3 separate regions of the Mus musculus genome follow, and all the other regions are reported to be linked to region 2. Evidence: microRNA targets listed by miRTarBase, many of them from high-throughput screens and not tested one by one. Region 2 holds a microRNA gene; each other region holds the end of a gene's coding sequence.

Region 1 (7,718 bases), not on the chromosome of region 2:
GGGAGAACAGCCTCTATGCTTGATGCTACCCTCCAAGCATCTGATGCTTAAGGCCCCATTTTGGAGCTGAATACCACTGTGGAGTCCCTTGAAAGAACTGATCTGTCTTTTGCCCTTGACTCCTTGGGTGACCTTGGAGTGTCACTACCCCACTTCCTCCTGTCTTCCTTTGACCAGTGGATTTAACTTTGAAGCCAGAAGGCAATCTCTTGTATCTCTTGTGTTGGAGCTGGAGAGCTTGGCCCAAGCTTGGCTGGTGCCATTTCCAGTTGGAGAGCAAGCTGAGGTGCTAAGGGGGTCCCCTGGCTGTTCAAAGGCCATAGTGGGACAAGATCCTCTATTTTGTAAATGACAGAACTAGTTCTCAGAGGGCAAATGGTTCTCCTCGGACTGTACAGCTAGACCTTGCTGGCCTACTATTGAACCCAAGCTGCAGACTTGGCGCCTGTTCCTCCACAGCTGGCTGCTGCACCCTCTCTTCCTCTTACACACACACACAGGCTCGCATGCACGCGCGTGCACGCACACACACACAGATGCACACACAGACGCACAGGACTGCGTATACGACCTGCGTGTGGCTGAGATGGTGCCTTTGTGCGTATGTGGAATGCTTGTGTGTTGGCGGGTGTGAAGGAGGCTGGGCTGAGCGGCTGCCCTGGCACAGCGTGCTGGGCGTGGGCCTCCCTCACATGTATGGAAGAGGAAGGGGAGGAGGAGAGATGAAGGGAGCCTGGTGGGAGGGAAGGCAAACTCTGGGGAGGGGCTCTGTAGGACTTTAGCTGGGTCATCCTCTGTGTGGGATGTGAACTCTTAGGCTGGCTCCGGGGTAATTCCCTCATCTTTTGGCTCCACGAGGGAGCTTGTCCTTAGTTCTTGGGAAATCAAATAGACCCTTCTTCAGCTGCTGTGTCTTTCAGGCTTCTGATTTCTTTGCTGGGGATCTAACAGCCCCCACTCTGTCCATTCTTCACCCCTGGGACTGGGCTGGGCAGGCGAAGCTGAACTTCCTGCGTCATCTCTCTAGTCCCTTTCCTATTCTTCCTCTTCCAGGTGTCCCAGCTCCCACCTCACCTCCTCTGGTCGCTAGCGTGACCTCCCTAGCCCTTAGAACCATCAGGTCCTGTGTCTTTCTTGACTGCTCTCCTTGCTCCCAAATGCACTGGAGCAGCCACAGGATGTCAAGGAAATGTGGAACCTTATTTAACACCTCTGAGCCTGTTTCCTCAATATCTGCCTTCGGTTGTGAGGAAACACAGAGTGCAGGAACTCAGTAGACAATCTATGCTGGCTGCGATGATGATGATGGTGGTGGTGGTGGTGATGATGACGACGACAGTGTAGGAATGGGAGAACAAATCTCCCTTGGCCACGATTGGTTAAGAAATGTCCACGTGGCTGGACATGGTGGAGCATACCTGCAGTTCTGGTCCTCTAGAGGCAGAGGCAGGCAGATCAAGGCCTGTGACTTTGAGGTCAGCCAGGTCTACACAGTAAGACCTTCTTTCAAAAACAAACAAACAAAAAAATTAAAGGAAGAAGAAGAAAGAAAAGAGATGAGCAAGTGGGGCTGCAGATGTAGCTCAGCGGTACACGTGTGTGGCACATGTCTGCCATGTGTATAGCTTTGTCTACAACCTTCAGTAACCAAAAAACAGGGGTTGGGAAGTGACAGGCCTGAGTGGGCAAACAACTAGACATTTGGCCCCGCTGCCTGCTTCAAGTCCTTGGGGCCATTTCCTCATGCCCCTTGCTTTCCTGAGCTCTGTCTCTGGGCCTTTGCCGTATCTCCTTGCCTTCCTTCCCACCAGCTTTCCTCCTTGCCCTCATCTGCGTCATCTTCAGGGTGAGGCCGGTGATCAGCCAGCAAGCACCAAGTTCTCTCCCGTCTTCTCTCTCAGCCTTCCCTTCACCATCTTCTTTCTAGCAGTGTCCCCCTCCCCCGCCATGTGTTTCTGTTTCCCCCCAAAACTAGATGATCCATTCTGAGATGGGGACCATGTGTGTTCATTCACTTTTATAACCTCAGCCCTGAGCTGATTACAGTACTTGCCTGAGGAAGCTTCCAGTAAACGGTAGAGGACTGAGAACTCAGGAATGGTTGGCACAGGGAGCCCTGACATTTTCCTGGATAAAGTTCCTCCAGCCACAGTTTGTGACTCCTCCCCCCCTCCCCCCTCCCCCATCCTCTTCCACCATTCACTTCTGTGCTGTCTCCTTCCTCCTCCAGCCACTGCCCACCTGTCTCCAGTTGGGTTCAGCATGGCGAACTTCACACCTGTCAATGGCAGCTCAGCCAATCAGTCTGTGCGCCTGGTCACAACAGCCCACAACCACCTGGAGACAGTGGAGATGGTGTTCATTGCGACAGTGACTGGTTCCCTGAGCCTGGTGACTGTGGTGGGTAACATCCTGGTGATGCTGTCCATCAAGGTCAACAGGCAGTTGCAGACAGTCAACAACTACTTCCTGTTCAGCCTGGCGTGTGCAGATCTCATCATAGGGGCGTTCTCTATGAACCTTTACACCTTATACATCATCAAGGGCTACTGGCCCCTGGGTGCCGTGGTCTGTGACCTGTGGCTGGCCCTGGACTATGTGGTGAGCAATGCCTCTGTCATGAACCTTCTCATCATCAGCTTTGACCGCTATTTCTGCGTCACCAAGCCCCTCACCTATCCAGCCCGCCGCACTACTAAGATGGCAGGCCTCATGATTGCAGCCGCCTGGGTCTTGTCCTTTGTACTCTGGGCCCCTGCCATCTTGTTCTGGCAGTTTGTGGTGGGCAAGAGGACAGTGCCTGATAACCAGTGCTTCATCCAGTTCTTGTCCAACCCGGCGGTGACCTTCGGCACAGCCATTGCTGCCTTCTACCTGCCTGTGGTCATCATGACGGTGCTGTATATTCATATCTCGCTGGCCAGCCGCAGCCGTGTTCACAAGCATCGACCCGAGGGCCCCAAGGAGAAGAAGGCCAAGACTCTGGCTTTCCTCAAGAGCCCTCTGATGAAGCCGAGCATTAAGAAACCTCCACCAGGGGGCGCTTCTCGAGAGGAACTGCGCAACGGGAAGCTAGAAGAGGCTCCTCCGCCAGCCCTGCCCCCGCCTCCACGCCCAGTGGCTGACAAGGACACTTCCAATGAGTCCAGCTCAGGCAGTGCCACCCAGAACACCAAGGAACGGCCACCCACAGAGCTGTCCACCACAGAGGCCGCCACCACACCAGCGCTGCCCGCTCCTACCCTGCAGCCACGAACCCTCAACCCAGCCTCCAAGTGGTCCAAGATCCAAATTGTGACAAAGCAGACAGGCAGTGAATGTGTGACTGCCATCGAGATCGTACCTGCCACGCCAGCTGGTATGCGCCCAGCAGCCAATGTGGCCCGAAAGTTTGCCAGCATCGCTCGTAACCAGGTGCGCAAGAAGCGGCAGATGGCGGCCCGGGAGCGCAAAGTGACTCGGACAATCTTTGCCATTCTGCTGGCCTTCATCCTCACCTGGACACCCTACAATGTCATGGTCCTGGTGAACACCTTTTGCCAGAGCTGTATCCCCGAAAGGGTGTGGTCCATCGGCTACTGGCTCTGCTACGTCAACAGCACGATCAACCCTGCCTGCTATGCACTCTGCAATGCCACTTTCAAAAAGACCTTCCGGCACCTTTTGCTGTGCCAGTATCGGAACATCGGCACAGCCAGGTAGACGGGCAGGTGCCTTAGGAGGTGCTGGTGTCAAGAGTGTGTACCGGGGAACCACATGGCTCACCGGCTGTGGAGGAGAGAGTAGGCGGCCCCACTCTGAGTTCGCATCTGCTGAAGAGAACAGGTCTCCCAGACACCGTGAGGTACAAGAGGCTCTTCGCTGGGATGGGAGAGCAGATCTCTACTGAAGCCTAGGAGGCTCGGCCCAGGGACGGTCTGAACTGGCACCACCTGGCCCATATCTTTTACCTTGCCTCAGGAAGATGGGGGACGATGGCTGGAGTGGGCAGTGGCTCTATCAAGGCCAACCATCGGTGGAGGTGGATGAATAGAGCAGAACTTGGGAGCATCTTGAGAGGAGCAAAAGGAGCCAGGCTTGCAAGGGTGGGGTCCCCCGTTATGCTGTAATCGGTGCTTTCCGCCTTCCTGCGCCCTCCTCTCCCTTGCATGTAGGCTCAGCCCTTCCCCTGCCCCCAAGTCCCACTCCAAGGTGAGGGACTTCCCTGCCACTGTTGCTCAGCCAGGCTCTGGATGGGAAGCCAAGCCCTTTGGCACTCCCCTGGCCAGCAGTCATCTGGACAGGGCAACTGGGAGGCCATGCTAAGCCGAGATACAGACTCCAGGGGACTGAATCAATTAATGGTGGATCTTATTGTCAAATTGTCAAGAACCCCCCCCCCCAGGTCACACATCAAATGAACAGCAGTGGGCAGTGTTCCTCTCTACCTCTGAGCGGAGGGAGGTATGGGTCCAAGGAGGGAAAGGTGATGGTGGGGAACTTGGTGATCCATACAGCCCACAGTGGCGAATGACACAAGCAAGCACCCTCATGGATCCCCAATGAGAAAATTCCAGACTTGCAGTAGCCTGGACCAGAAACTCTTGATGAGCTGGGACAGAGTTCAAGTGAGTCACCTAGGTCCCCTTCCCTAACCCCAGCCCTGTGGGTCCCTGGGAGACTTTTTTTTTTTTTTTTTTTTTTTTTGTAAATGTTCTGCTCTTTTTCCACGAGCTGTAGGGAGCACTTCCTTCATAGCCCTCAGCTCCCCTCAGTCCATCTTTCCCCATCTTCCCACCTCCGACAGAGCTCCATGGCAAACTGGGAAGGGGCTTTTATATATTAAAAAAGAAGCTTTTATTGGAAAAAAGTGAGTTTATTTTATTCATTTCTTAATAACAAGTATCAGGGTGGGGAGAACAAAAGAGGGTATGGGGAGGCTCACTTTCCAGAATCTCTTGTCCCTCCCCACTTTGGGCACTTGGTGTGGGCGTGAGAGGACAGGCGTGATTGACAGAGCTGACAGGAAGACAAAAGGCACTGGTGGGTTATATCTTGGGCCTGTGGGAGAGGAGGGCTCCGTTCAGGCTCCAGGCGAGGCCGGAGGCTCTCTGGCCTCCTGACTTAGTCCTTTCCTTTTCCTTTCTTGGCTGGAAAACAATAACGGAGATGCATTAGTGCGGTGGGTGACCTAGCTCGGACTCACCAGACAACGCAGACATGTCCATCAAGGAGAGAAAATCCTGCCCCCTAGTGGTGACTGACCAGTTCACCTGGAAGTGGTGGGAAAGGGCAGCCATGTGATATGAAACCTTTCTTTATTCGTTCAACTTTTTAACCCTCGCGCCCCCCCCCCCCCTTTAAAGACAGACTCTCAAGTCTCTCAGTCTGTAACCTTGAACTCAAGGCAGTGTTACTGCCTCAGTCCTGAAGTGCCGCTTTTTACAGGCACGAGCTACCAAGCCTGACTTTCAACTTTCTATTTTCATCTAGGATCAGAGTACTCCAAGTTCCTCACCGGGGAAATGGGCAGAGTCACCTCTGCCCTGCTGGCCTCAATAGCTGTTGGGAGTCAGGTAGCAGCATGTACCTTTGGGACAGCCTTTCCATAGTTTTAAGCGCAGAGTTAACTCCTCCCTGATCCCACCCCACCTTCCTCAGTTGACAAAGACAAGCCTTTCCCAGGAACCCAGGTCGGATGATCCAACAGAAAGAGTAGTTCCTACTTGGGCAGAGGGTTTAGCATCTCCTGAGAGTGGCCCTCAAGTGCCTGCCCATTCCTAACTTTAAGACTGCTCTGCAGAGACAGAGCATGGAGTAGCCTGGCCCACAACCCCACCATATTCGCTGACCTTTGGTCTTTGACTTGGTCTTGGAGGTGCAGGGCTTAGTCACGCGGATGGTCTCCTGGCACTGGGCATTGTACCGCGCCTTCTTCAGGGTCCCTTGGCGGGCTTTGGTGCCAGTGCTCCCATCACACGCCCCCCAGCTCTCAAACTTGTATTTGCAGTCGGCTGATGGGAGAGTGGCCCCACGGTGAGAGACAGGAGGGTTGTGGATGTCCTCCCTGCCTCCGGTTTATAAGGACATACCCTCTGGCTTCCCGCCCTCCTCCCGCGCGCCACCTCACCTCCAAATTCCTTCTTCCAGTTGCAGGGCACCTTGCAATGGACGCGCTGGGTCTGGGCCCCACAGGTACCCTCGCGGAAGCCCATGCCGCAGTCCTTGCTGCTGGGGGTGCAGGGCCCCCAGGTCCACTCCGAACACTCGCTGCCCTTCTTCACCTTCTCTACAGGGCGCAAGGAACAAAGTTAAGGACATGGCGTGCCGGACCAGCACTTGGTCACACGGCCTGCCTCACCTGCCCACCCCAGCTTTTACTCCTGAGCCCATCCTATCCCATCACCTTTTTTTTTGGCCACCGCGGACGTGACCACCAAGAGGGCAAGAAGGGCGAGAAGGAAGAAGCCTCGGTGCTGCATCCTAGGGGTAAAACCTGGGTTAGAGTTTCTCGCCTAGTCTCTTCTCCGCTAGGAACCGCGGGAAGGACCTCCCACCCTTGACTGACTTGTCCCACTTTCCAGGCCCAAAACGTCGGACCGACAAGGGGGAGACGGAGGGAGGACTTGGAACCGATGTCTCAGCGTACCCCCACCCCCACCTCAGCCCCCTTGGTGGCAGAGCAGCCGCCTGAAGGGACTGGGGCCACAGCCACTGCGTGCGCTCACTCGCTCACTGCTCGATGCTTCGCTCCCTCCCGCTCCGGCCTGTCCCGCTAAGGCCGCTAAGGCCCCTTTTGTCTCCAGAACCGGTCTGAGCCGGTCACATGGGCCCCCGCCCCTCCCCCCATCCCGTGGAAGGACCCGCCCCCTCCCCCCAAACCCGCACCTCCCCAGACCCCCCTAGTCCCCGCCTCCACTCCCGCCCCTCGCCGAGCCGGGACTCCCGCGTCTGTGCCTCTCACCTCTGATCTCTGGGTCTCTGGTCCTGGAGTTCGGTTTTACCAGTGCGCTTCTGGCTCAGGTCCCCTCGTAGCAGGCCCAGCTCTCTATCCCCTCCCCTTCCCCTGGTCTAGGCCTGTCTATACTTTTCCCTCTCGCAGCCTGTCAGCTCTCAGGTCACCACTTCGCTTGCCCACCGCGGGCCCCGGGAGTATGTCCTGGTGTCACAGGCTCGGGGCGGCCACCGCACCCGCGAACCTTCCCTTCGAGGCCCGGCTCACCTCCGGCTTGGTTTTTTTTTTTTTTTTTTTTTTTTAATCAGTTCACTCAGAGTGCAAGAAGGGTCTCTGATGTGGCAGGGAGCTGGGTACCTGGGACCTCAGATGGCTCCGGGTGAGCAAGGCTCGAGAGCCTTTTTCTAGTGCAGGTTTGGGGGAGGAGGAGGAGGGAAGGGCGTTGGGGGGGATGGGGAAGCACATAGAAATGAGTTTGGTAAATCTTGTCGCTGACAAGAGCTGTCTGAGAAGTTCCAGACCGGGCTTCCCCCGGAGGTGATAACCGCCCACCCCTGACCCTGGGGCCTCAGGCTCACCTCAAGCAGATCCCCCCCCCCCCCCCCAGTACAAGCCAGGGGGAGGGGACTGCTCCAGGGCACAGGGCCAAAAGACCAAAGAACCCAAGCCTGGCCCCCGCCCCACCTCTTTTACTTTCATTGTTATCATCCCTGCAGGAGCGGGAAAATCAGCTCCGCCCCAGGCGCTGTGAGCCTAAGGCCCTAGGCAGAGGTCAGGATCGGGG
Region 2 (7,718 bases):
CAGCCAACCTCTGCCCCTTCCTGGGGTTCAACTCTCTTCTACAAATCCGAGTGTGGATGGCTCCCTTCCTAGGCCAGGTTCAGGATCTATGTAGAGGGACAAAACAGTGGGTTCAGGATCTATGCAGAAGGATAGCCCACAGTGGGGGCACTGATGTTTCCTCCTGTGCAGGGAACCATGGCCCAGGGGTCAACATCAGATGATCTAGATGCACCCCCTTCCTGTAGCCCTGGCCTCACTCCGGTTGAGGCCTGCTCTAATCCTTGTCGGAAGCATCCCAGATAACACGGAGGGGTGTGTCTCCTCTGGAGAAGAGATGGAGTAACTCTAGGCTGTCTTGGTTGGAAGGAGGCCATTTCTGGTGGGATCAGTGAGAACAGGCTGGCCCAGCCCTGGCCTGTTGTTCTCAAGTGATGGACATCTGCTTAGCAATGACGATGACAGTATTCAGTGGCAGGGTTAAGAGGCTGGTGTTTCTGCTATCCCACTCACCTCTTGGCAGTTATCTCACACGGATCCTCCTGTCCCGGCCCCTCTACCTACTGGAGGCATGGGCCTGGTGGTAGAGCACTTTGCTCCCATTGGGTTTCTCTCACCCTTCAGCTTCCTCCAGGAATGAAGTGAGGCTAGAAAACGGCATGGAAATAGTGCTGGCAACAAGTGTGCCTGACCACCAAGGACAGTCTCAGTCTCTCCAGGGACAGAGGAGCAGACTCAGGTTCAGGCTTCCAGGCTTTCAACACAGGCTCAGTCTCACATCTGAGTGGTGGGAGGGAGAGTTCCTTAGAGGGGTTCCAAGCCCCTGCCTAAGGCTTGGACACCAAAGCTCTGAAGACCAAGCACTACAGAGTGGTCTACAGCAAACACTGACCCAGGGATCCAGCTTCTTGCTCTGCCCACTTGTGGTTTGGAGCAGGAGCCTGGGTGATGATCCACATCCTTCCTCCGCCAACAGTTCACTCATCACCTGAACCATATGCTATAGAGCAAACTCCTCCCTGGGTGAGACAGCTCAGAGGAGGAGGTCAAGCCTCCCTAGACATCCATTCTTCCGCCCTCAGACCCTGCTTCGCATCCTATTTGACAAGTTAACGTTTGCAATGTTCTGTGTCCTGTGAAGTCAGGTGGCTCACGGAAGAATGGAGACTGCACTTTCTTGACTCCAGAGGTCTCAGCCAGATGAGGGAAGCCTGCTTCCACAGCCTCATGGGCCTCTGGTGCAGCTATGGGTGGCAGGAGCTGCTGCCTAACTTGTTGGGGTGGGGGACTAGAGGAGAGGGGAGGATAGGCTTGCTCTGCACCCAGCCAGAGGTGGCAAAGGACAGCTCTACCACAGATCCTTCACCAAAGCTGTGAAATGGGCATCTGGTTCCAGTGAGATCTCCACTTACCTGAAACCCATTGGCAAGAACCCAAGCCAGACACAGCCAGGCACAGGGCTCAGTGACCCATGGGGACAAGGGACTTGATCCCTGAACAAAACCCACCTTAGGCGACAGCTTTGTTTTGCTTTAGTGGTTCCTAAGAACAAAGAACAAAACCAGACTAAACCAGTGCTTGGCTGCTCTCTCCAGTTCAGAGGAGGTATGGGCCACTGAGGTTCTCAGAGGGGCCTTACAGGGTGTGTGGTTCTTAGTCCACCTCTAAGCAAGGCCAGAGTGCTTCTGAGAGCAGGAAGGCATAGACTCAGCCATTTATTTCAAGTCTTCACAGAAATCAGGGTAACATTAAGTAGAATTAACACACTTTGATACTTGTACCATTGTGGTATACAAAGCAGATAACCATTTGCAAGTCCCCTGCAACCATCCAAATGCAGTCACTGCTACAGCCCAGGCTCTGAAAACCAATGGTTCTGTGCGGACGCTCCTCTCAGTCTGTCCTAGAGCCTTTGTCACCCAGCAGGTCTGGGTGCAGAAGCCTGGCCAGCCAGTGGGATGCTCCTTCTGGTTCCTCTGTCCACCGCTCTGCCTTGGCTGGGCTCATGTGACTGCACTGATGGCTCAGTCTCAAGCACCGTTCTCTAGACAGTGACTGAAAGAGCTTAGAGCTTGTTCTGAGACTCCGCTAGTACCAGGCTGGCTGAAACTCCACATTTGGAAGAGAGCAGAGTCCCAAGCCACACTAATTTCCCTTTACTTCCAACCTTTTTAGAATTAACATTACCTGGAGGTAGGAAGTGTGTGGAAAGTGCCTGTTCTGACACACGTTCTTCTTTGCTTTTAAGGAGCATCAAATTCAGAAGCAAACTGGAACACTAGCAAATCTGGTACTTTATTAAGACATTTTAGGCTTTCCTGCATTTTCAAAAACAGGAATGCTCTGTTGACTGAACACATCAAAAGGGCTTTGCAGAATCCTTGGGGACCAGCCACAGGAGGTGTCACATGATTCTGCAGTCTCAGAGCATGGCAGCTAGTTTTTGCAATCACAGGAAGCAGGCAACCGGCTCTCCATCTGCCTAGGGGAGGGTGTCCTTCATTGAATGACTGCCTTAAAGTCACAGCTCAATTCCAGTGTGTAGACTCAGTCTCTCTAGGACTGGGAACAAAGGCAGCTGCCAGGTGCAACAGTTTATGAGGCTCCGCCTTTTATATATGCCACGGGAGCCCAGTCTCTGGAAGCCCAAGATGGACCAACCACTGCTGTGGGCTGATGGCCTTAGCAGCCACATAATCCTCCCTTTGATGTCCAGGGTCAGTGCAGTCCTGGCCCCACCAGGGCTAGGAGAAGGTATATGAGAATCTCACTGTGATCTGTCCTGTGGAGGAAACAGCAATAAAATTTATTACCCAGTCACCACAGCCATTCCAACAGGAGTCCTCCCAGCCTCTGACCTCCACTTGAGAGGGAACTTTTCATGGGAGGACAGGGGCAACACTGAAGCCACACCTCACAATCCTGGGTCTGGGGTGCACAGTCACGGCACAGGCCATGCAGGGCTGTGAAGCCCAGAGAGGTTCAGAAAGGCTCTACAGACAAGGCCCTTCAGACAGGCATTCTCACTGCTCAAGGCAGCGGTGACATGGTGTGCTCTGCCCCAACACGTGGCAAATGCTCAGCGCCTGCCCTACCTGCTTCTAGGGAATGCAAACTTTCCAAGGTTAGCTCTGCACTCTACAAATCCCCACCTCGGGAGCACATACAGAGGGATACCACTGCTGTTGGGTCTGGTACCAGACACTCAGGCCCTTCATCTTCTTCTCCGTGGGAGGCCTGCCTCAGGCACTTACAGATGGGTAGGCTTTTTGCTCAAGGGCTCGACTCCTGTTCCTGCTGAACTGAGCCAGTGTGTGAAATGAGAACTGATATCAGCTCAGTAGGCACCGGAGGGCGGGTCCAATCACAGCTGGGCAGTGCCTCCTGGCGTGCCCTGGGCATCATCTTGCCAGCGACTGTGGAGACATGGAGACCTGGACTGCAAATACAAGAAAGAGTTCACCACGCCCAGCAGGGACAAAGAACCACACCCCCACCCATCACGTGTGGCATCAGCTGAGACAAGGTTGGCTCAGTTTCCTTGATGCACCTGGGTTTAGTTTTCTGTGACTCCCAATACACTTGACATTACAGTGAACTAATTAGCAGTAGAACTGTATTTTCTGTAGACACACTTAAGGGTGGTCAGCACGCTGTTTGCACTCTTGACAACACAGCCTTGAGGCAGGCTGGTCTCTCCTCCTCTGGAGTGACCACCAGGCAGTGGCCTCTGCCTGGCAGCTGCAAGTTAACTGTCCCCATCTCACCTTCTCTTCAGGTGCAGAACTTAGCCACTGTGAACAAAGCGGAAACCAATCACTGTTCACCAATCAGCTAAGCTCTGCACCTTGTTAGAGAGGTCATCGCCGGCCATAATTAAAGGGCTGGTGAGCATCTTCGAAGGCTGTTGGCTTCTTTTGTTTCCAAAGAGCCACAAGGCGCCTCTGTTCTCCAAACTGCAGAGAGAAAGTAGCCACGGTTCTGCAGGAGCAGCCAAGGTCATGGTTGCGTGGTAATCCCTGGCAATGTGATTTTAATCTCAAGTCACAAATCAGCATGCCAGGAACCCAAGCAGCCAGAGCAGGTGAGGGCAGCACCATGCCCAACCACTCCCATCCACATGTGCTGAGTGTCCTCCAAACCGCCTCTGAGCCCACCACGCTAGCAGTGCAGCCTGCTGTCCTTCAGCGCGCTGGCTGCACTGTATAGAGGAGCATAGGGGACTGGGAGACAAAGGACACACTTATCAGCTATGAGACCAATACCTTAGGGACCATCCTTGCTCTGAGTATGTGGCCTTTAACCCTGGGACACACCCTGTTCTCCAATTGCAGACTGAATGGGTTGGGATGTCTCTGGGCCCCTCAGACAGCAGGTGTGGTGTGTAGGGAGGGAGCATCTCTCTGGCTTGCCTGTGACCAAGCATTTGGTTGGATAAGCTGAGGCATAGCACAGAGCTCATAGGGGACCTAGCAAGTTGAGGATTTGCTCACTCAGGGGGCAAAAATACTCTTAGAAGAGTCACTAGGACCACTATGTGACTATGGCTTTCCTAAGTGAAGGCCTAGGGACCTAAAAAGGGAACAGTGGCTTTACTGTGTGACCTTCACACACCACATACCAACAATCCCTCAGCTTACAAGTTTCTAGAGAAATGTCTGCAGGAGGCAGTGAAGAGGCGCCCCGACCGACTCTGTCTATCCACACAGGCCACCGTCCTAGCTTGTAGTGTGCAGGCTTAGCAGGCTGTACCTGCTTACTCCAGCCCACTATCTCCCCTGCTTGACTGTGGCGGTCCCCAGCTCTTCTGCAACAACATGGTCATACATAGTAACATGTTTTCCCTTCATCAGTGTAGTTCTTCAGAAAAATAAACATTACACAGAAGTGGGTTTTATAAAAGTGAAATGTGAAAATGTAAATTTAATGTCTGACAATGGGTTAAGATTAGCAACACAATTCTAAATATTCATTAATTGGTAATCATAGAGAACAACAGAGTAACACAGTGATTGATGTAAAATTTCAAACATATACAAAAGTAAACATCATATGTACCACCATGGCAAGCGATAATGTCCTGGGATGATGTAGAGATGATGACTGGCGACTATGAAAGAGACGCACTAGCCCACACCTGTCTCAGAACTCCACGCCCTGTGGCTGAACTGCATTACTGGTCCACAAGCTGGCTACAGAGGAGGCAAGTTACACCACAGCCAAGGACTCTGGGAGCCAGCGTAAATCCTGTTCCAGCACGAGATGGAAACAGACTTGCCTTTAGGACGCAAGTGTCACTTGGATGGAGGGGCAGAGAAGACCTGCTGCCTACTCTACAGGTCAGAGAACCAGAGGCCAAGGAGTCTCAGGTTTACACAGCCTCTAGGAGAGATGCCTGCATGCTGAAGCCTGGAGCAATGAGGCCATGGACCGCTGTGTTGACCTTGACCCTGGAGCCTGTGGACCTGTGCAAAATCCAGGGTGGCTAAAGCAGTGCCAGATCTGTTGCTCCTTCAGCTGTACCTGCTTCACACCCATGCTTCCAGCAGGTGAGGTGCTCCAGAGATCCTGAGCCTTCTTCCTGTTCCTGAGGACCCACCTTGCTGCTTCCTCCCCAAGACCGTTTGGCAGCCCTCTGGTGCTGTGGCTCATCATGTGGCTTACCAATTGACATGGATGGTTAGAAGAAAGAAAAGAGAATTACCTCTTTAGAACAGCATTTCAGTCACCACCTGGGCCGATGCTCTGTCCATGTGTTCCTTCACCAGCTCAAAGCACCTGTGGGCTAGCTGCTGCAGCCTGGCGTCCTCACTCACCATCAGCTCCCCATACAGGTATATGCCCATGGCCTGCAGACCGTGAAGGCCAGAGAAGAATGGGAAAGGGGTAAGAGGCTGCACATGTTTATGGGGACTTGTTTGTATTGCTTTACACAAGCTGGTCTAAAAGCACAAAGGACAGAGAGAGAGCCTGCTGCCGTGCAGGTGACCAACTGAAGCTTGCACCTTCTACTCTGTCTCCATTGTCCTTATCAACACTCTATGGAAGCTGAACATGGTAGCACAGGCCTTTAATCTCAGCACTGGGAGGAAGAATAGGACGATCTTTGTGAATTCAAGGCCAGCCTGGTCTACATAGCAAGTTCTAAGCCACACAGAGTCACACAATGACACCTTGTCTCAAAAAACAACAGAAATACAGAATTCTATTGATTCTGTCAACCGACTCCGGTGCCCGAGTAGCAAGCTATCCCAAGATGGCTATTGTCAGGAATACACTGGGCAGAGGCAGAGAGCTCTCAAAATGGTCACCATGGAAAACCTTGTCTGTCAGGCCAGTGCATCCTAAAGGGTAGCTGGCATGAGCTTGCTTACAAAGTCCATCACCTAACAGGCCACAGAGACCACATGGCCAGCAGTGCAGGCAGGGCAGATGCTGTCACTTTGGCCTAACCCAGCCACCAAATGTCAGACTCTTGGCTCTTCTGCTTTGAAAACAATGCTACAAAGGCTTGAATTCTCACTGAGCCAACATTAAAAAAGCAGCCAATTACATTCTGCAAGTTCTGCCCGCTTTCTTGTTCTATGGAGTTTCTCAAGGGTTACATTCTGCTTCAAATTCAAGTGTTTCAAAGGCAGCATAGGATAAAAACTCAGTGTCGGCTTCCAAAGAGCTTTCCTGCAGGGGCTGAGGCGTGGAGGTCCCTGTACAGCAGACAGCATGGCTATGCCAGTGAGCTGCTCTTAGCTCTGTTCCTGTCTGCTTTCTCAAACAATTCTTACTCCACTGTGCAAATGTGACATTTCTGCTGTAAAAAAGTCACATCCTTTGCTTTATGGGAAAAACCAGCCCTCACTTTGACTCTGTCAAAAGTCCTTTTGTCCACCACACCCCCACTTTCCATCCCATTCAAAGTGGCTCTAGCCCATCAGCCCACAGTATGCACACAGGCTAGCCAGAGGCGCCAGTTGGGGTTGGGAGTGGGACAGAGTATGGGGGAGGTCATGTGGAAACATGTCATGAGGTACAAAACATCAGAGGAGGTACCCTGAAGGATGACCCCAAAATGTGTCACAAACCAGAGAGGTGGCACATGAGGTTACACACACATACATGTACGTACACAAACACACAAACACACACACACACACACACACACACAGAGCCTGAAATTTGAGGCAGGAGACTGCTTCCTAGGACATTCTTAAAAGGAGAGAATACACAGGCTAGGCAGGGCCTGGCATGGGTATGACATGGTGTGAATTCCCAACAGGTGACCCAAGGGTTTCCCATGTGATTCACACATGTGCTGTGCTGTGCTTGCAATCAGAGCCTTACAAGCTGGATGGACCCATGGTGTTGCTAAGCAATGGCCTTGGACTGAGAGTTCTAGGGTAAGCCTCACCTAATGCCACATTCCGTCCACAGCCAGGACAGAGGACGGGGTTCTGTGAGGACACTGAGGGCATCAGCTCACAGCTGCCAGTGATCTTCAGATGCTAACTAGCCCTTCAAAGTTTTTGAAACTCCTTCAGATAATTTGTTCTGACAGGGATGTGGAGAACTTGGGACTGGGAATGGTGGCCAGTTTCTATCTCTTGGAAGATCACACTCACCTGGTCCTCCAGTAGGAACCTCTCCACCTGATTGTATGCCTTTGTGTACTTGTGCTTAATAACCAGTTCACACCATCGATGGCGAACCTGGGAAACAAGACAGGAAACCTGGTAAGCAATGCT
Region 3 (7,718 bases), not on the chromosome of region 2:
TCTTTGCTGGGTGCCTTCCTCAATCACACTCCACTTCTTCCCCCCAATACAGGGTCTCACTGTATAGCCCATGCTGGCCTGGAACTCCATAGACCAAGCTAGCCTTGAATTCAGATATCTGCTTGCCTTTGCCTCCTAAGTGCTGGGAATAAAGAAATTTGTGGTGGCACACACCCGGGATGCAGAAACGGGATCCTTCTGAGTTTAAGGCCAGCCTGGTCTACATAGGGAGCTGGAGGACAGACAGAACTATAGAGAGAGACTGTTTCAGAAACAACAAAAGCCATGTGTTGCCAGCTCACCTTAATTTTTTGAGACAGGCTTTCTTTCTCACAGAACCTGGAGCTAGGGTTGCTGTCGAGTAAGCTTTGGGGATCTGCAGGCTTTTTATTGGCTTATGGAGGTTGAGCGTTGGTCCCTTTATCAATATAAACGGAGCCATCTCCCTAGCCCCAAAGATCTGCATTGCTGATAAGGGCCCAGATGATACTGACACTATCTGGGACCCGAGCTTTAGATTCAGTCTCTAGGACGTGCACGCGCTTGTTTGACATCTTAGGTAATACAAAATCATTTCCAGAATTGTACCAATTACACTCCAGCCAGCCATGAAAAAGTGCCACACTAGATATCACCTGATGTATGCTCCCATAAGATGCAGGCTTCTGCCCAGCTCCTGTGTGTGAGGTGGCATTTCCTTGAGCCTGAGCCCTGTGTGTGTGAGCTGGCATCTTCCCATACCTTGTTCCTGAATTGCTTTTTCTTGGTCCTATGAAGAGAGGTTTTTCAATATCTGCTGTAGACATGAATCCTCTTTCTGTAAGAACAGCTGGTGCTGTTAACTTGTCATCTCTCCTGCCTGAACTATTTGTAGTTCTGTATATGTCTTGGATATTAATTGCCTGTCTGATGCATAACTTGGCAAGAATGGCTTTTCTCATCCTGTAGGCTGTTTTTCCGGGGAGTAACTGAGTGCATGCCCAGTGTACAAGGCCCTGGGTTTCATCTCCAACACTACAAAAGGAAAAGAAAAAAACAAACAAAAGCAAAACAAACAAACAAACCCAAGCCCTCTTCACTCTGGTGAGCTTTGCAGTACAGGATATGTAATTCCGTGTCAGTTCTTGGAATAATTTTTTTTTTTTTTTTGGTTCATTTTGTTTTGCTTTTTTGTTTTTCAGGGACAGGGTTTTTCTGTGTGGCCCTGGAACTCACTCTGTAGACCAGGGCCAGGCTGACCTCAAACTGCCTGCTTCTGCCTCTGGAGTGCTGGAATTAAATGTGTGTGCCATCACACCCAGTTAGAATATTTTGTGATGTTCAAGTCCTGTGTAAGGAATCCTTGCATATTGCCTGTATCTTAAGAGTGCGTTAAAGCCTATGCTCCCATCGGGCAGTTCCAGGATCTCACAGAAATAGAAAATGAGAACAGTGAGAAGGTTGCAGTGCAGCTGTCTCTTGTCTTTCTTTGATGCCTATGGGACAAGTGTCTGCTGTCCCCCAGAGCAGCTTCTGTGCAGCCTGTGGGCTTAGCAGGTTCTCCTTCCCCTGACTCATGCCATGGGGTGGTTCATGTTCTAGTTAGGATGTGGAATCCCATGTCAGTTCTTGGGATAATTTTTTTTGTTCATTTTGTTTTGCTTTTTTGTTTTTCAGAGACAGGGTTTTTCTGTGTGGCCCTGGAATTCACTCTGTAGACCAGGGCCAGGCTGACCTCAAACTGCCTGCTTCTGCCTCTGGGATGCACTGGTCTGCAGTAGTAAGTGGCCACTGCATTGAGATCTGGACATCCCAACATCCTGCCTTTGTACTGATGCTGTTGGAGAGACGCAGCTGTGGACAGCTAGCATCCCACTTTTGGGTGTCAGCCAGGTTCCCTGGGTAGATATCTGCCTCTGAGCACAATTTTGTTAGCCAAATGACAAATGATCATTTTTCATAGATGTCACAGTGCCTACAAGTGACTAGAGCTGACCCTGCTCTGGATCTATCCAGGCCCTTCTAGGTTCAGGATTTAACTGATAACATAGGACAAACGATTGTTGCTTACAGTTCTCCCCTGGAGTAACAGGTATAAAGACAGACATGAAGTACATGGACCGGGTGGGTCCCAGCCCAACCTCTAAGCCTTCAGGTCAGCTTAGCTACAGCCAGAGAGAGGCCCATCCTCTCCCACTGTCAGAGAGTGGGAAATTCACACTCTAAAAATATTTCCATGTCTCATGTAGGCAAGATATTGCAGGAAAGTGCCAGTGGGCTACTATGAATACAGTTCCTTCCTTACAGAACTCTGGCAAAAGCTAAGCCTTTTTTTAAGCCAAAATTAGGGTTCAGAAAGGTTAATCAATAGTCCTTGCAAGTCATAGCCTACTCAAACTGCCCAGGGGCTAACAAACTTGGGAGTTTTGGTCACTGTCCACTGAATTCATGTGGTGGCTGAAAGAAGCCTTTTTTCATAAGCAAAAATTGTCTAGCATCAACTTCTAAAGGACAGGTCACAGCATAGTGGCCTGTGCCCTGTCCCACAGCGGTACACAGGTGACTATGGGGCCTCAGGATGTTTGGGGAAAAGAATGGCTCAGTAATTTACTCATGATTGGATGGAGAAGTGACTTGATTTATAACTCAGAGCTCTGGGTATCTTGGTGGGGGCAGAGGGTTGTCACAGAAAGGCCAAAGGGCATCTAAATGGGGTGGGGCATCATTCCACAGACCAGCAGCCAGAGGAAAGGAAAGAAGAAAACCACACAGCCTGTGAACAAACACTAATTCATATTCACCCCCTTCCTTACCTGTCCCTGTCATATGTGTGCACTTGTGCCACACCCTGCTCGCCATAGTCTGAGACCTCTGACCATAAACGAGCCTTACCATGGGCCTGTTTGAAGTGGTGAAGTATCTGGGCAGCCATACTTCATAGTCACAAAGTGCTTGGATGGCTCCCACGTCTGTCATTCTATGCTATTGGGTCATTTTGTCTTCTCTGGTGCCGGGGACATATCTACACCTTGTGATTGATAGGCAAACACGACACAGCTGAGTGACAGCCATTCCCTACAGTTTATACAACCTCTGTTGATAAGCAACTGAGTGTCCTGCAGAACACTTCTAAAACATTGTTTAAAGATTTTTTTATCGTATCAGTGCCTGTATATATGTGCACATGTTGCGTGATGCCCACACAGGTCAGGAGAGTGTGCGGGATCTTGGAACTGCATCAGGAATGGTTGTCAGCCACCATGCGGTGCTGAGATCTGAAACCAGTCCTCTACAAGAGCAGCTAGTGCTGCTCTGAGATTTTTATTTAAACTTTCTTAGAGATGTGTATCCGTGTTCCAGAGGTCAGTCACCCTCAGATATTGTTTTGCAGGTCTCAACCCTGAGCCCAACAAACCCTTCTCAGTTTACCACAACCATCACTGGTGAAGAGTGGGTGGGCTCACGGGGTGTGTGCAGCGCCTCTAAGCACACTTCAGAGTTGTCTATGCTCCACCTTTCATGGACTTGCCCTGAGCAGACTACCCTATGCTATCGTGGGCTCAGCTCAGTCTTCCCCACCTTCAGGAAGGGCCGAGGAAAGGGGGACATTGCACACTAGCTTTTTGACACGCGGTAGCATTTGTCTCTGTGTCATCAGTTCAGCAATGATACAGCAGGTACATTCTAATGTCTGAAATGAATAGCAGTAAGACCAAAAAGAATGGACAGCCACACTGAAGGCGGCATGAGGAACATCCTGCACACACTTCCTAGTGACGTCAGACAGAGCTGAAGCAGCAGGAACTGAGTGAAGTAACAGAAGAGCTCTCGGGGAGAAAAGCCACAAGTCCACACATAAACAGCAGTCCGTTTTATTAGATAAACAATGCCATTTTAGACCAACCCCACACTGTAGAGTTCTGTCATCAATACCCAGGAAAGCAAACACTGTCCTGTCTTGTATTTGTTCTGGCCCCTCATGCCTCAGCCCGTATCTATGGGTTTCTAAGAAGCAAAGTCCAGCATTTCAGAGGAAAGAGTGCTCGCTGGGAAGTCTAGGGGTTGGCCCCTGGCCCTCATATACCCAAACAGACACGTGTCTGTGCACACCATACAGATAAATATATATATATATACTCTTTTTTTTCTTTTACAAAAATAACACAGGGCTTGTGTAGGTCTATTAATTTTTAAAAATCACACAGGCGGAATTTACACTTCACCATAACCATTTTTTACTTTGGATTCAAGTGGGAATTTTAGGTCCCAAAATAATTTACAATCACCAAGGAGAGGTCCCGCAGCAGCGTACTGATGCATTCTGAGCTGCAGAGGACAGAGCCATCACCCCTGCACCGGGTGCTTCAGCCCACTCACAGCCTCGGCACACACACCACAGCTCACTAACTGCATGGTGATCTATGTTCCCAGGATGTGTGTTCAACATGTGCTCGTATGATGTCATTAAATACCATCCCTAACCAGCAACGCAGAGAAGTAAAGTGCAAAGCAGGGGTGCAACCAAGAGGACCGAGAGATCCTACCAGACAGACAGACACACAGACAGACACACAGAGAGAGCTCTAATCTGCAGCTACATTTCATGTACAGATTTATCAGAAGAAATGCATTTGGTTAGTGGCATGGAAAAAATTGAAATTCTAGTCTTTCTCCTAGAATATTCAAATGCTCATGAAACAGCATAATAAAGCTGACCATCCATCTGGTGACTGAATAAACAGAATGCTACGTGGCAGTTTAAAAACACAGATCCTGGGACTAAAGGCTCTACCAGCAAGTGTCCAGAATGTGAGTTAACGGATACTCTACCTTGCATATGGAATACTAGTAAGGATAGCTACTAAGTGTCTACACAGATGACTGTCACAGGAGAATGAACAAACTCTGTCCCCCAAGGTAAGAGGCCTGCTGATGTGAGGTTCCCCTAACACAGGCCACCTCCCCCCAGGTGGAAGTCTCTGACACCTCAAATCTATCCATCTGGCTCAAGCTTGGTACTGGACATGCTTCTGGATGCTGGTGTGACTCCTGCTGCTGGTTCCACAAGGGCGTCTCAGGTGCCCACGGCAGGAGCTGCCGCTCCTCCTCCTCCCCCTAGAAAAAGGAGGTGTCTGAGGAAAAGGCACCCGCGAGTCTGAAGTCCTCCTTGGTGAGTACGCTGTACATACGCTGTGGCAGGGCCTTGGAGTAGGGAGCAGGCCGCGGCACAGTGGCCCTCAGGATCAGCTCCCGGCCTGCAGGTGGTGGGAAGTCTGACACCAAGGTCTGTCTTCTCTCCTCTGGGCAGCCTGATTTCTTAAGCTCCTCCTCTGGCAGAGCCACTGCCGCAGCCTTGAACAGAACAGAACACCAAATTCAAGAGCCAGTCGAAAGCTACATTACCCAAGGGCAGATGGATAAACACAAGAAACACACAATGACCTGTGTCACTTGGAAATGCATTATATCCACTGTGTGTTATGATTGCTCAAAAGAACAAAAACAGAAAAGCAGAAAGCTGGAAAGAGCTTGGGCACTAGTGAGGCAGGCAGAGGTGGGTGACCAGCACTCTGCTCTGAAAAGCAAGGGCATTGGGGCTCCTCAGCAGTGGCAGAGCTGCACTGGTGCCTGCATTTCTGCAGGCAGTGACTCACATCTGAGTTAGACGTTAACAGGACAGACTTACTTTCAAGTCGAGAAAGGCAATTTTATCTCTGCTCTCTCAGCTAGTTCTTTTTTAGATTCTCTTGCCAAATTAGAACCAGGAACACTGGCTTTGACTACTGGGCATCTAATGTGACAGCAAGCTAACAGATGCCCATGGCCATAGCCACAGAGGAAAAGTGCTCAAAGCTGAAGGCATTGCTTGTACATTCAAACTGCACCAGTGCAGCCAATGGGAGCCTTCAGAACGCAATACTGTCCTTCTTTCATGATTCCACTGCTTGGGAAAATTCTTTGGGCAATGGAAACATGAAGTCAAGTTAAGCTGTACAGCCAGAGGGGATGCCACATCCAGCCGGTTAGAGATGGTTAGTTAAGATGACCTTATGAAGTTAGAGGGATGGGGAAGGACAAAGAACTATGAGGGACATAAGGCCATGTTGTTACCTCATCAGAAGATTCAGTCAGCTTGAGAAAGGTGAGAAAAGAAACAGTGATGAAAGGGACCGAGGGAGCTAAGGGCCGGGGCAGACTCGGGGGCACATCAGGAATGGCACGCACTGTGTGGGCATGACTCCATCCAAGGGCACTGAAGGTGCACAGAACCACATCACAGACCACACATGGCCAGCAGAGGCTCAGGCTCATGCATCTGACGGCTCAACAGGTGAAGTGCAGGGTCATTTAATGAGGAAATGACAGAAAACCCTCACTCTTTCAAACAAGATGCTGTTTCAAAAGATGCTTGACAAACCATAAATTTAAGGACAGATGTGTAGAAATAATTCAACTTAGTAAGACCGGAACAAAGCAGTTATTTTTGCTGAATTCTATTTAAATAAGTACATACCCAAACCTATATGGTCTCAGTCAACTTTATTACAGTTCAGAATTCTAATATTTTACACTTTGGGCTTGTGGGAGTGGGGCACTCATGTGTGCATATGCCACAGCACACACATGGAGGTCAGAGGACAGCTTTCAGGAGTGGGTTCTCACCATTTGGTATGTAGCTTCTGGAGAATAAACTGACAAAAGACTTGGCAGCAAGGGTTTACCCCTGTGCCGTGTCACTGGGCCTACAGTTTATAATTTTGAAGAAAAGTTCTAATATGAAGCTAATGTGTGCTATAAAAATTCAGCTACGCCTTAAATATAATTAAATCTTCCTTTGTTAGTAAAACTGGCACAGAGTACCTGCTCACCATGAAAAGTTACATAAAGTCAACAGTTCACTGAGCCAGATAGTGAGAGCTGAGTTAAAACACAACACAACCATGTGCTGGTCATCACATGGGTTCTGAAAGCGCTGACTACTGAGGTAGACTGAGAAGCTGTGCTGTGTGAGATACACTCACAACCTGAGGGTCTTGAGGAGGACCCCTGAGAGGCAGCGTCCGCCTCTTAGATATGATAAACACCGGAAGTAGAAACCATGAGGATCACAGCAGCCCGAGTGATGAAACATCCGTTGGTGTGTAAGACTTAAGTGCTCAAGATTGAAGAAACTATGACTAATCTTTGTTTTTCTAGCAGCTTTGTAGTCAGGGAAGGACCGAGGGGACTGTTCCAGTTTAGGGGAGTAATTCTGATCACCCCAAACAAGCAACACCCTTAACACTAAAGACCTAGACACTTCTGATTTTAAAACTTAATTCATGATTTTCTCAAAAGTTAGTAAAGAGTTGAGTCTTCCCTACTGAGGAGACGCAGCAGCAGGAGTGACAAGGACACTGCTGGTCAGCCTCTGGGTTAGATGGCGGAGAGGTAGAGCTTGTGAGAACAGATCAGAGGACGACAAAGGAGAACAGTGCTGCCTCCTACCCGTCATTAGCGTATAAGCCAATAAGGTAATTCTGTGTTTAGCTTTTAGCATTCAGTCACTGTGTGTGACTGCAATTTTGAGTTTCTCTCTAGGGACGATGCAACTGTTAGTCTATGTTCTGGTTAGTTGTATGTCAACCTGACACAAGTTATAGTCATCTGAGAGGAGGGAGTCTCAACTGAGAAAATGCTTACAAAAGATCCAGCCCACAGGGCATTTTCTTATTTACTGATTGATGGGATGGGGTGAG

What was found. The annotated mature microRNA mmu-miR-24-3p reads UGGCUCAGUUCAGCAGGAACAG and lies in region 2 at 3,268-3,289, opposite strand. An mRNA with a match to its seed (bases 2 to 7 or 8) in the 3' UTR can be bound and repressed. Matches are read on the target gene's strand: a 7mer-m8 pairs with bases 2 to 8, a 7mer-A1 pairs with bases 2 to 7 and ends in A, and an 8mer does both.
Region 1: the mRNA of Mdk is a reported target of mmu-miR-24-3p. The part of its 3' UTR that is shown has no 7-base or 8-base seed match.
Region 3: miRTarBase lists Rab3gap1 as a target of mmu-miR-24-3p. Seed matches in the 3' UTR shown: 7mer-A1 at 4,982-4,988.

Annotation. Positions count from the first base shown.
Region 1 is chr2:91,924,987-91,932,704 of GRCm38, forward strand. It overlaps Mdk (midkine), which reads right to left and starts at 6,873. Exons shown (of 5, transcript NM_001012336.2): 1 at 6,708-6,873; 2 at 6,386-6,462; 3 at 6,110-6,268; 4 at 5,832-5,993; 5 at 4,819-5,129. The coding sequence starts at 6,461. The coding sequence ends at 5,104. Chrm4 (cholinergic receptor, muscarinic 4) reads left to right here. Exons shown (of 2, transcript NM_007699.2): 2 at 2,231-4,843. The coding sequence starts at 2,263. The coding sequence ends at 3,702. It overlaps Gm39876 (a long non-coding RNA gene), which reads left to right and starts at 7,231. Exons shown (of 2, transcript XR_866530.3): 1 at 7,231-7,313; 2 at 7,651-7,718.
Region 2 is chr13:63,296,822-63,304,539 of GRCm38, reverse strand. Mir24-1 (microRNA 24-1) reads right to left here and starts at 3,332; the gene lies at 3,265-3,332. Aopep (aminopeptidase O) reads right to left here. Exons shown (of 16, transcript NM_001289926.1): 15 at 7,596-7,682; 16 at 1,663-5,828. The coding sequence ends at 5,688. Mir23b (microRNA 23b) reads right to left here and starts at 4,056; the gene lies at 3,983-4,056. Mir27b (microRNA 27b) reads right to left here and starts at 3,828; the gene lies at 3,756-3,828. It also overlaps Mir3074-1, Gm16907 and a transcript of Fancc not described here.
Region 3 is chr1:127,939,987-127,947,704 of GRCm38, reverse strand. Rab3gap1 (RAB3 GTPase activating protein subunit 1) reads right to left here. Exons shown (of 24, transcript NM_178690.4): 24 at 3,829-5,331. The coding sequence ends at 5,095. Among named protein-coding and RNA genes, the nearest start is that of Gm28800, 17 kb to the left of the region's middle.